Drosophila melanogaster: one gene and its partner. The protein of the gene in region 1 interacts with the protein of each later gene in a pairwise test. Each region holds a gene or a part of one and is shown in the gene's direction. Other genes may lie near its edges. The genes, in order: CG13245 and Surf4.

Region 1 (3,857 bases):
ATAGATTTGGTTCAGACCTACGCCACTGAAAAAAGGCCATCAGTTAGAATTATGAAGAAAATTTTGCAGGCGCACAAAAGGCACGGCTTGGAGTTGAAGTTTCTAAAATATTGCGTGTAAATATATTGGAAAAAATTATTTATTCCCATTGAAAAGTGGTCTGTAGCCAATAACTAGACTAAGAAATATCATGCTAATTGAAAATTTTTATCAGACCATTTGCGTTTTTGTTTTTGAGCTTCCTTATCAAAACTAATGTATTGGTTTGTGAACCAAATTACATTGAGGTTTAATTAAAAAAGAAATTTATGGCTAGGAGCGCGTCAATTTGTTTTCAACTGTGGCAGTTTTTAAACGAAAATATTTTGGTGACTGGAACCGTTGTCAAAAAGTTCGTTCAATTGACCTGTCTTCGCTATTCAAGCGTGGCTAAAAAATACAACCGAATAGCTGAACAAAAACTGTCAGATCCATGACCTACATAAGTACGTCGTGTAACCAAATAGATTGGAAGGTTTTCGAACGAATATTTTGTTTTTCCCCTGCATTCGCTTCGTATGCAAAACCAAAACAAGCAGCTTTCAGATTTTGACCATTTTTCCATTGTTTTGCTAGTCTCTCGAATGGAAACTTTTGCCTGCCCATTTCATTCGTTTTTTGCGGGCTAGCTAACAAAAGTTCGAATGTTAAATGATTTTCATGGCGCAAACTTTGGCAACCCTGAAACTGGACCCCGGTCATTTGTTAGCCTGTCAGAAAGGCAACAAAAATGGGCGCAAATATGCAAGTCTGGCTGACACGTGAATTTATTGCATTCAAAAATATGAAAAGTTCCAATAAAAAGTGCAACAACAGGGTACTACAGGGTATTAGTACAGCGGGCCAAAGCAGCCCCATTCCCAGCAATTTTTGCATTTGTTCGGCACAAAATAGAAAGGTGGCGCACAACCGCCGCTGCAACATCCGCAGTTGCAGGTGCATTTCATGCAGGGCAGCAGGGGACCCACGGGGCCGTAGGTCAAGCGGTACGAGACCACGGCACAGGGCGGTGGGCCACAGCATCCGCCACTGGATCCACCACATGAACCGCCACATGATCCGCCGCAGGATCCGCCGCAGCATCCTCCTGTACCGCCCCTGCAACAGGAACCACCAACACAGCAGGATCCACAGCAGCCACCTCCGCCGCAGGGCTTACAACCAGACCCACAGGATCCAAACTGCGGTCGGCATCGCGGTGCAGCACAACTCATCCTAGAAATTACTTAGCCCTTTGCAACCTGTTGCTAAGTACTTGCCGCTAAAAAAAATGCTAAATACTCCGGGGCAGTGATGGACAGTCAGCTCACAGCTCCAGGCGCCTATTTAGCACCTTTTTTGTCCGCCAATAGTCACAAGTCCACTGGGAAAATTTTATAATTCCTGTCGAATAAAAACTCTTGCAGTTTCCTCAAGTATTTACTGGAAAAGTGACACCAAAGGCAAGGATACATGCGGTTGAAAACATTTTAAATTAGAATCGTATCGAATAAACATATATTGGAGACTAAGTAATTCCATGTATAATTTGCAATTTATATGGTAACTTAACGATTTTTCTTCCTATAAAAGTCTATAAAAGTACTTTTATTCCATCACTCTATTTTTGTCACCAAAACATTGCAATTAAAATTACATCTCAATTACACATCCTGCCTTGCGGTACCATTTAAAACCGACGTATGGTCGCTAGGAATATCCAACCAGAACCACCACGCTTCGTCGAACCCATGTCCTCTCAGTTACATTTGCACAGTTGACCATGCGTGGGTTTGTCTACTAGATCCTCACATGCAGACACCCTCTTACATGGCCTCTGGTCCGTCGGGAGATATTGTAATTGATTGTCTCCGCCTGGATGAATAGGAGTTGGATTGAAGTATCATGGACCGGAGTGGCAAAAACTTTCATCACGGTTCGTTATTCGGCGGATAGAAATTTGCATCGCCAACGGTCCGAGTTAAAACTCGTGGTAGAAGTAATAGAATTATGAAGTTGTTCTGAACAGTATGCAATCTCGTACTTTATTTTGTAACGCTTACTTGATTGGTTGTGTCACAGAGAACACCAATAGAGTAATTTAATTTATATATTCCCACAACATGCCATAATATGGTATATATGATTGAAGATCCCGGCTAAGGGCTTCCAAAATGTAGTTCACTTCAGCATCAGGGTGCCATCCACTCTCTCGTTCCGATTTAGCCAGCTTTCATTTTAGGCCAGATATCCAAAGCGTAGTCTAACCCGAGGGCGGCGTCGATGAGATTGTCAATAGCTGTCAGAGCGAAAAATCGCCTTTGCTCCCTGGGAAACCCAATCCACTTCAGTTCCTTTTCCACTTCGGCACCAAACACTCGATTTTGTGTCTGCTCCAGGGCCAATAACTATACACCCCACCCAAAAAAAAAAAAAACAATAGTAAAAAGAGCACACGTTTCGGAAAACCTAAACCAAGTCAAGATGTGTGGTGGCTGGGCCTGTGCCTCCTACAATATCGCCTGCTGCAATCCCCGCCTGTCGACACTGCGATTCTCTGGCCGCTGTTTCGCACCCACGCCCTGCGGTCCATGTGATGACTGTTCCATTTACGGCGGTTGCTGCGGTGGCTGCTGCGGGTGCTAGGTGATCTCTGACCTGGAGTAGCCACAGAGTTGGGTGGAGAGTCCGGAATTCAACTATCTTGAAGTAGGCCTTGGGAACTGTTGGCTGTCAGCCATGAAACAAATATCATTCAGTCCCAGTCCAGTCCTTGTCGGAACAACAACCTTAAACGTTCACCGGGGTAAGTTTCATTTATGCTTTTATAAAATTTTATTTAAAAATTTTATTTTTAATCATTCACATTTCCATATAGTTCCCACATCCGTTTCCTAACCATGTGTGGTGGCTGGGCTTGTGCCTCCTTTGACCTGGCCTGCAATAATCCTCCCTTGTCAACACTGCGTTTCACCGGTCGGGACTTTATACCCACGCCCTGCGGTCCTTGCGATAAGTGTTATGTTCTAGATACTAGCCGCAAGAAGAACACCAACAACTGCTATGTTCCGCACATCCTGTCTCCACTGGATGCGCAGCTCTGCACACTGGCGAGTACTCAGAAAAAAAAGGAAGACGAATAAACGCCAGGAGGAAATGCGGTCTTATACTACTAAAATTATCAGTGTAGATCTTCTTGTACCAGCCATTTCCATGGGAAACCAATAAAAATTTGAGGGACTAATACTGACTAAGTAAGTTTGTTCCTTAGTTAGAGATCTTGTACCTACGCTGTCGCGCCTAATTATTTTCATATTTTTCCTATCGGTATCCTGGTCCTGGTAAAACTGTCGACAATTTTAGTATATTTTTTTTTAAAGGAATATTAAATTTGAGCCATACAATTTCAAGAACCATTAGAGAAAGAATTATACCTCATGGTATACTTAGGATACTCAATCCTAGTAAGATTGTGCTATCTAGGATTTTGGTATATTTTCTTATTTTTCATATACGTATCAATGGAATATGAAATTTCTCAAGAAATTTGACAAATAGTAAATAAGAAGTTACTTGTTTAAGTACATTAATTTATTGAAAAGCTCGAACCATTGTGTAAGTGAAAATGTGGTTCAAACCAAAAGCACAAAAAAATTTCACGTCGTTTTCTTCAGGAATTGTCGTACCTTGGGTTTCTCAGTAAAAAGGCCCAAAGCAACCCCATTCGCCGGCACAACAGCACCTGTTAGGAGGACATGTCCAGGGACCACAGGGAGGATTGGGTCCACAGCAGCAGTTATTATAGTTCATGGCTGGCAGAGCGGGTCCGACGGGGCCAT
Region 2 (4,967 bases), on another chromosome or scaffold:
CACATACATCGTTCATCTCCAGGTCGGCCACATGACCAGGAAACAGGTGCGCCTTCTGCATGGGTACGTGCACAAAGTAACGATCACAAAACTTGGGGTTCCGCCGAAGCAGGACCTCAGTCAGTATTGTGCCATAGTCGATCTTCTTGGTAATCAAAAGGCGCCGGCTCTCTCCACTCCCATAGCTAGCGGAACGCAAGCCAAATTGTCTGGCGATTCTGTAAAGGGAAATGCCAACATAATAAGCAATTATTTTTTACGATGTGGGATGACGGTGCTTACTGGTGAAGCGTGGTTCTTTCTTCCTTCGAAAACGTGGGCTCAAACTGCATGTCACGTATATCGTCCGATCTCACATAGTTTTCTATAAGCCGTCGGTAATCAGCGAAATTTCCCTTTGGATTTATTAATCCAAGACCATTACGATTGTTCTTTAGCAGATAACTGAAAATATAAAATAAAATAGTTTCGTTTGGTGATACGTTAAAAGTCGAACTCTTACCATACGGGCTCTTCACGTCCCTGCTTCAGTCGCCCTAAGCCACCGCCTGTCCAGCCCATCAGTCGCATCATGCGATATCCCTTGTTGCTGGGGTCCAATTTGGGATCGCACGGACTGTCGGCGGACTCATTGGTGACTTTGATGTTGACGCCGTCCTTGTTTTTTTCCACCTTGATGGTGTCGCGCGTGGCATTCAGCTGTGTAGCGTAGTACCGGGTTTAATAAGGCATACATTATTTCAGAAATTTCATACCTTAATACTATAGCAATAGGACTGGATCGTCAAATGCGCCTGCTTATAGGCAGCTTTCTTGGCCGCCTTAAGGCTCTCCCCCTGTCCTGTCGCTATTACCTCATCATTTACTAATAATTCGGCGTATTTTGTATTATCGCTTAATGGCTGATCTCGGCTGACACGCTCTTCGTACTTGACATTCGCAATGTTGCAGGAGTTTTGCAGGCAGGCTCGTCCCCCAGCCAAGTACACAATGAGCCGACCGAAACGCAGATCTTGATAGAGATCGACTGGATCTCCGCCGCCAAAACACTGGCGTTTTATGTGTGAGCTATCCTCTGGGGAGCTCGTCGAGGGAAGGGGTGGAGCCCGGCGCCCTAGTAGTTGGAATTAGGCATTAGGCTTTGGTCTCTCTGGCTCGTATAGTTACTAGTGATAAAAAGAATCTTCTCTCGCCTATGGGCCCACTAATTGTTCAGTCGTCTACCTTTGGCGCGCTGCTCCGCCGCATCCGACGCCGAGACAAATGTTCTCTTCAGGCGCTGTTCCCGTTTCTGACGGAAATCCGCTGCGATTTCCTTGGACAACTCGGCCACCAAAAGCATCGTCGCGCTTGGATACTTGCAGCCCATGAACTCCATGTTGACGAACGTTTGGGCCAGGCACACCAGCCGGTCCTCCTCAAAACGATCCTTGTGGGCCAGCATGAAGCTGCGTCGCAGATCCCAGTGCTCATCACTTTCGTATTCCGTCTTGTAGCTGTCTACATCCCAGTCCAAGGAAAATTCCCCGGATCCATAGCCGGCATCATCCTGTTTTTTAACTTTGACTTTCTTCTGCTTTGGCTTGGATTGTTGAACGGACATCTTTACAGGGAAAATAAATAGCGTTCAACTTGTCAAATAAAATGAGCACAGGCACGCTTGTTTTTTGATTGCTGCTTTCCCATTCACAGCGAATTATCAATTCGATTGGCCATGTGTTGCCCATTGGCTATCGATAACGCAGCGATAACGATAGGCCCCATCACGGCTATACTTTGTCGTGCGTGTGTGTTTTTAAGTTCCTGCCTTTTAATTCATGATTTTTTGGTAACTTAACAACAATTTGGAGAGCGACGCGACGCCCAAGAAGTCAGAAACGAATTGCCAAAGTGTCTCCACAGACGATTGCCCCAAAGTGAGAGATCGGATCAGCCCAAAGCAGCCAACATGAGCATACCCAACGAGTACATAGCGAAAACGGAGGATGTGGCGGAACAGGTAAGATATATTAGGTTCCACTGCCAAAAAGAAGTCCACCAGGACTCCATATCCACCGCAGGAAGCGTCTTCCCGATGCGCCCCAAATGGCGTTTGCGGGGAAGCCCTGGCAGCTGCAAACTGGGAAAACTGCCAACGTCACCCAAACGCGGCAAAGTTCGAGGGTCTTGGCTGCATATAATCACGATCCGCTGACATGGGGGCAACGTGCTGGGCATTTGCTTCCAATAAGAATCTGGGTGCAACCCAGATGATGGGTTTGCCTTGTACTCCAGTACCGCAATTGACAGTTGTTGCGTCTGCCGCAGGGAAAACTCTCTCTCTCGCTGCTTATTTTCTACCTGTGTGCTGATGCGTATGTGTCTGTGTGTGTGTGCGAGAGAGCTGTCTCCGCAAGTGAAAGTGTTGAAAAAGAAATAGCGGGCAGCTGGACGCCAGCGGCCAGGTCGAGTTCCGTAATAGTTGGGCTAGAAAGCCAGGTGAACTTGCTCGCGATTTACATACATACATGTATGAAGTTACATTGACAGCCGGGCCAAAACCCGTTAGCTGGCAGATAGCAATCGAGAGATACTAGCGTTTAGAGACACGTCACAGCCAGCGGGCGATTTCTAGCGACTACGCGCAAGCCACGCTCAACGGCATTGTATATTTAAATCCCTTATCACCTTGTCAGTAGTCCCCTTATCACCATATCAGCACCCATCCCAATTGCTCTCAACTCAACCAGAACCAATCGAACACTCATTTTTGCAGGTCATCAAGCGCGGCAAAAATGTGCTGCCCACAGTGGCCCGTTTGTGCCTCATCGCCACGTTCTTCGAGGACGGCCTGCGCATGTACATCCAATGGAACGAGCAGCGGGAGTACATGGACATGAGCTGGGGCTGCGGCAAGTTCCTGGCCACCGTCTTTGTGCTCGTCAACCTGTTGGGCCAACTGGGCGGCTGCGGCATGGTGATGGCCAGATTTAAGGTCGACATAGCGGTGGGACTGCTTTTCTTCATTGTGGTGTTGCAGGTGAGTCTGCATTTATATCAGCCAGAAGCAAAAGCCTTGACGTTAACCCGATCCTCTGTTTGCAGACCGTTGCCTACTCCATTCTGTGGGACTTCCAGTTCTTACTGCGAAACTTTGCACTCATCGGAGCCCTACTGCTCGTCCTGGCGGAAGCCAGGATAGAGGGGCGCAGCCTGTTTGCCGGCGTGCCATCGATGGGCGAAAACAAGCCCAAGAACTTCATGCAGCTGGCGGGCCGCATCCTGCTGGCCTTCATGTTCATCACTTTGATCCGCTTTGAGCTGAGCGTATGGCAAGTTATACAGGACATCATCGGCTCCATTCTGATGGTGCTGGTCGTGCTGGGATACAAGACGAAGCTGTCCGCCCTGATTCTGGTGGCTCTGCTTACGATCCTGAACCTGTACCACAATGCCTGGTGGACCATTCCGTCCTACAAGCCACTCAGGGATTTCTTGAAATACGACTTTTTCCAGGTTAGCAGGTTTACAATATCTTTCGCACGAATTTGTGTTATTTTTACGCATTCCCTTCGCAGACTCTCTCGGTGATCGGTGGCCTCCTCATGATCGTGTCCTTGGGCCCTGGCGGCGTTTCCATGGACGAGCACAAGAAGAAGTGGTAGAGGCCAGGCAACGGTCGCTCCTTGAACGAAACACTTTCAACATTTGACTTTTACCGTGTTTTACTCCTTCTGAGAAATGTTAGTTAGGAATTACCATAAAATGGGACAACAACAGGAGCAGCATCAGCAGCACAACACCGGCACGTATAAGAACTTGACAATTTTCAATAAAGGGACTTCCGCAATACCCCTCTCCAATGGCTCACTTATTGGGATCGCCCCAACCCAACTCCAAATCCATTCGCGCACATTCAACGACAAACTTCGACATTTTAAACATTTAGGACATTTTATTTTTGTACATAAAGAACAGGCAAGAAAAAAGTTTGGTCACTTTCGAGCCCACCCCAAATGAGAGACATAACTGATTTTATATCTATGCTTGTCAATATCCATGTTTTTTGCCGATTTTTTTATATGATTTGTACACTCTTATAAATAAGTTGTAACCTTGGTGTTTGCCTTTTGTTGATTGCTAGAAGTTTGAATATGAAAACGATGTATAAAATATGATGTACCAATTGACAATGATTTGTTTCTTTCGTTTATAAGCAAAAGTGTAATAGAATTAAATTGTAACGTTTTAATAAACATAAAGATGAAAAACCGAGACTTGTGCATTTTAAACTTGGCGCCAATTGGCCGATAAATGGTTAATGCTTTTGTTTGTTTACCAGCACTAAGGCACAGCTGACTCGCAACGTCAACAAAGAGGGAAATGCCCATTCTTCGACTACTGGGTACCCCGTACTAAGTTAGCTGCTAGTGAATCCTGCATAACTAACAATAAATAACTTTATTGCAAAAATAAGAGCATAAACCTTATACAAGTAGTACGATTAAATTTTGTAAATAGACACAAAATATAATGATAAAAAAAATGATTAGGCACCGTTTTGAATGGTAATGTTAGTGAATTAACTAAATATAAAACAATATATTGAAAAGCCCTGACCTCTCCAACAAGGCAGTGAAATGTCAACGGCCTCACTTTTTTTTAAAAACTTGAAATCAAATCTGAAAATAGGGATGAGTACATTTGATTAATTTCCAAAAATTGTTGCAATCAGTTCAAATCAATTGCAATACACAATGCACACAAGTAACTTATAGGGGCGGAAGTGTTTTCTGCAGCTGGCGACAAACACAGTTGCGTGTACAATATACCCGTGTATTGGGCAATTACCGGGTATAAAAATATCAAAGAGTCGCTGAGCCCCGAAGTGAGTATATGGCCAAACACAACGCATTTGTTGTTCAAAGCGTTCGGAACGTGGACGGATTGAGCTCCGCCGGGTAAGAGTTGGTCGTCGTAAATGTTAT

The links.
Region 2: the proteins of CG13245 (region 1) and Surf4 interact in a two-hybrid assay, tested with the Drosophila melanogaster proteins (one large-scale study listed by BioGRID).

Annotation. Positions count from the first base shown.
Region 1 is NT_033779.5:16,002,192-16,006,048, forward strand, and holds CG13245 (uncharacterized protein), read left to right. Parts: upstream 1-2,133; 5' UTR 2,134-2,502; coding exon of another isoform or gene 2,503-2,664; 5' UTR 2,665-2,824; intron 2,825-2,896; 5' UTR 2,897-2,918; coding exon 2,919-3,161; 3' UTR 3,162-3,270; downstream 3,271-3,857. Other genes in the region: CG34167 (uncharacterized protein), read right to left, coding at 870-1,253; CG43816 (uncharacterized protein), read left to right, coding at 2,503-2,664; CG31820 (uncharacterized protein), read right to left, coding at 3,715-3,857.
Region 2 is NT_033777.3:15,342,941-15,347,907, reverse strand, and holds Surf4 (surfeit 4), read left to right. Parts: upstream 1-1,731; 5' UTR 1,732-1,948; coding exon 1,949-1,999; intron 2,000-2,755; coding exon 2,756-3,019; intron 3,020-3,084; coding exon 3,085-3,495; intron 3,496-3,557; coding exon 3,558-3,644; 3' UTR 3,645-4,255; downstream 4,256-4,967. Other genes in the region: CG31301 (uncharacterized protein), read right to left, coding at 1-218, 283-444, 503-699, 756-1,114, 1,225-1,603. UniProt on the Drosophila melanogaster protein: Endoplasmic reticulum cargo receptor that mediates the export of lipoproteins by recruiting cargos into COPII vesicles to facilitate their secretion.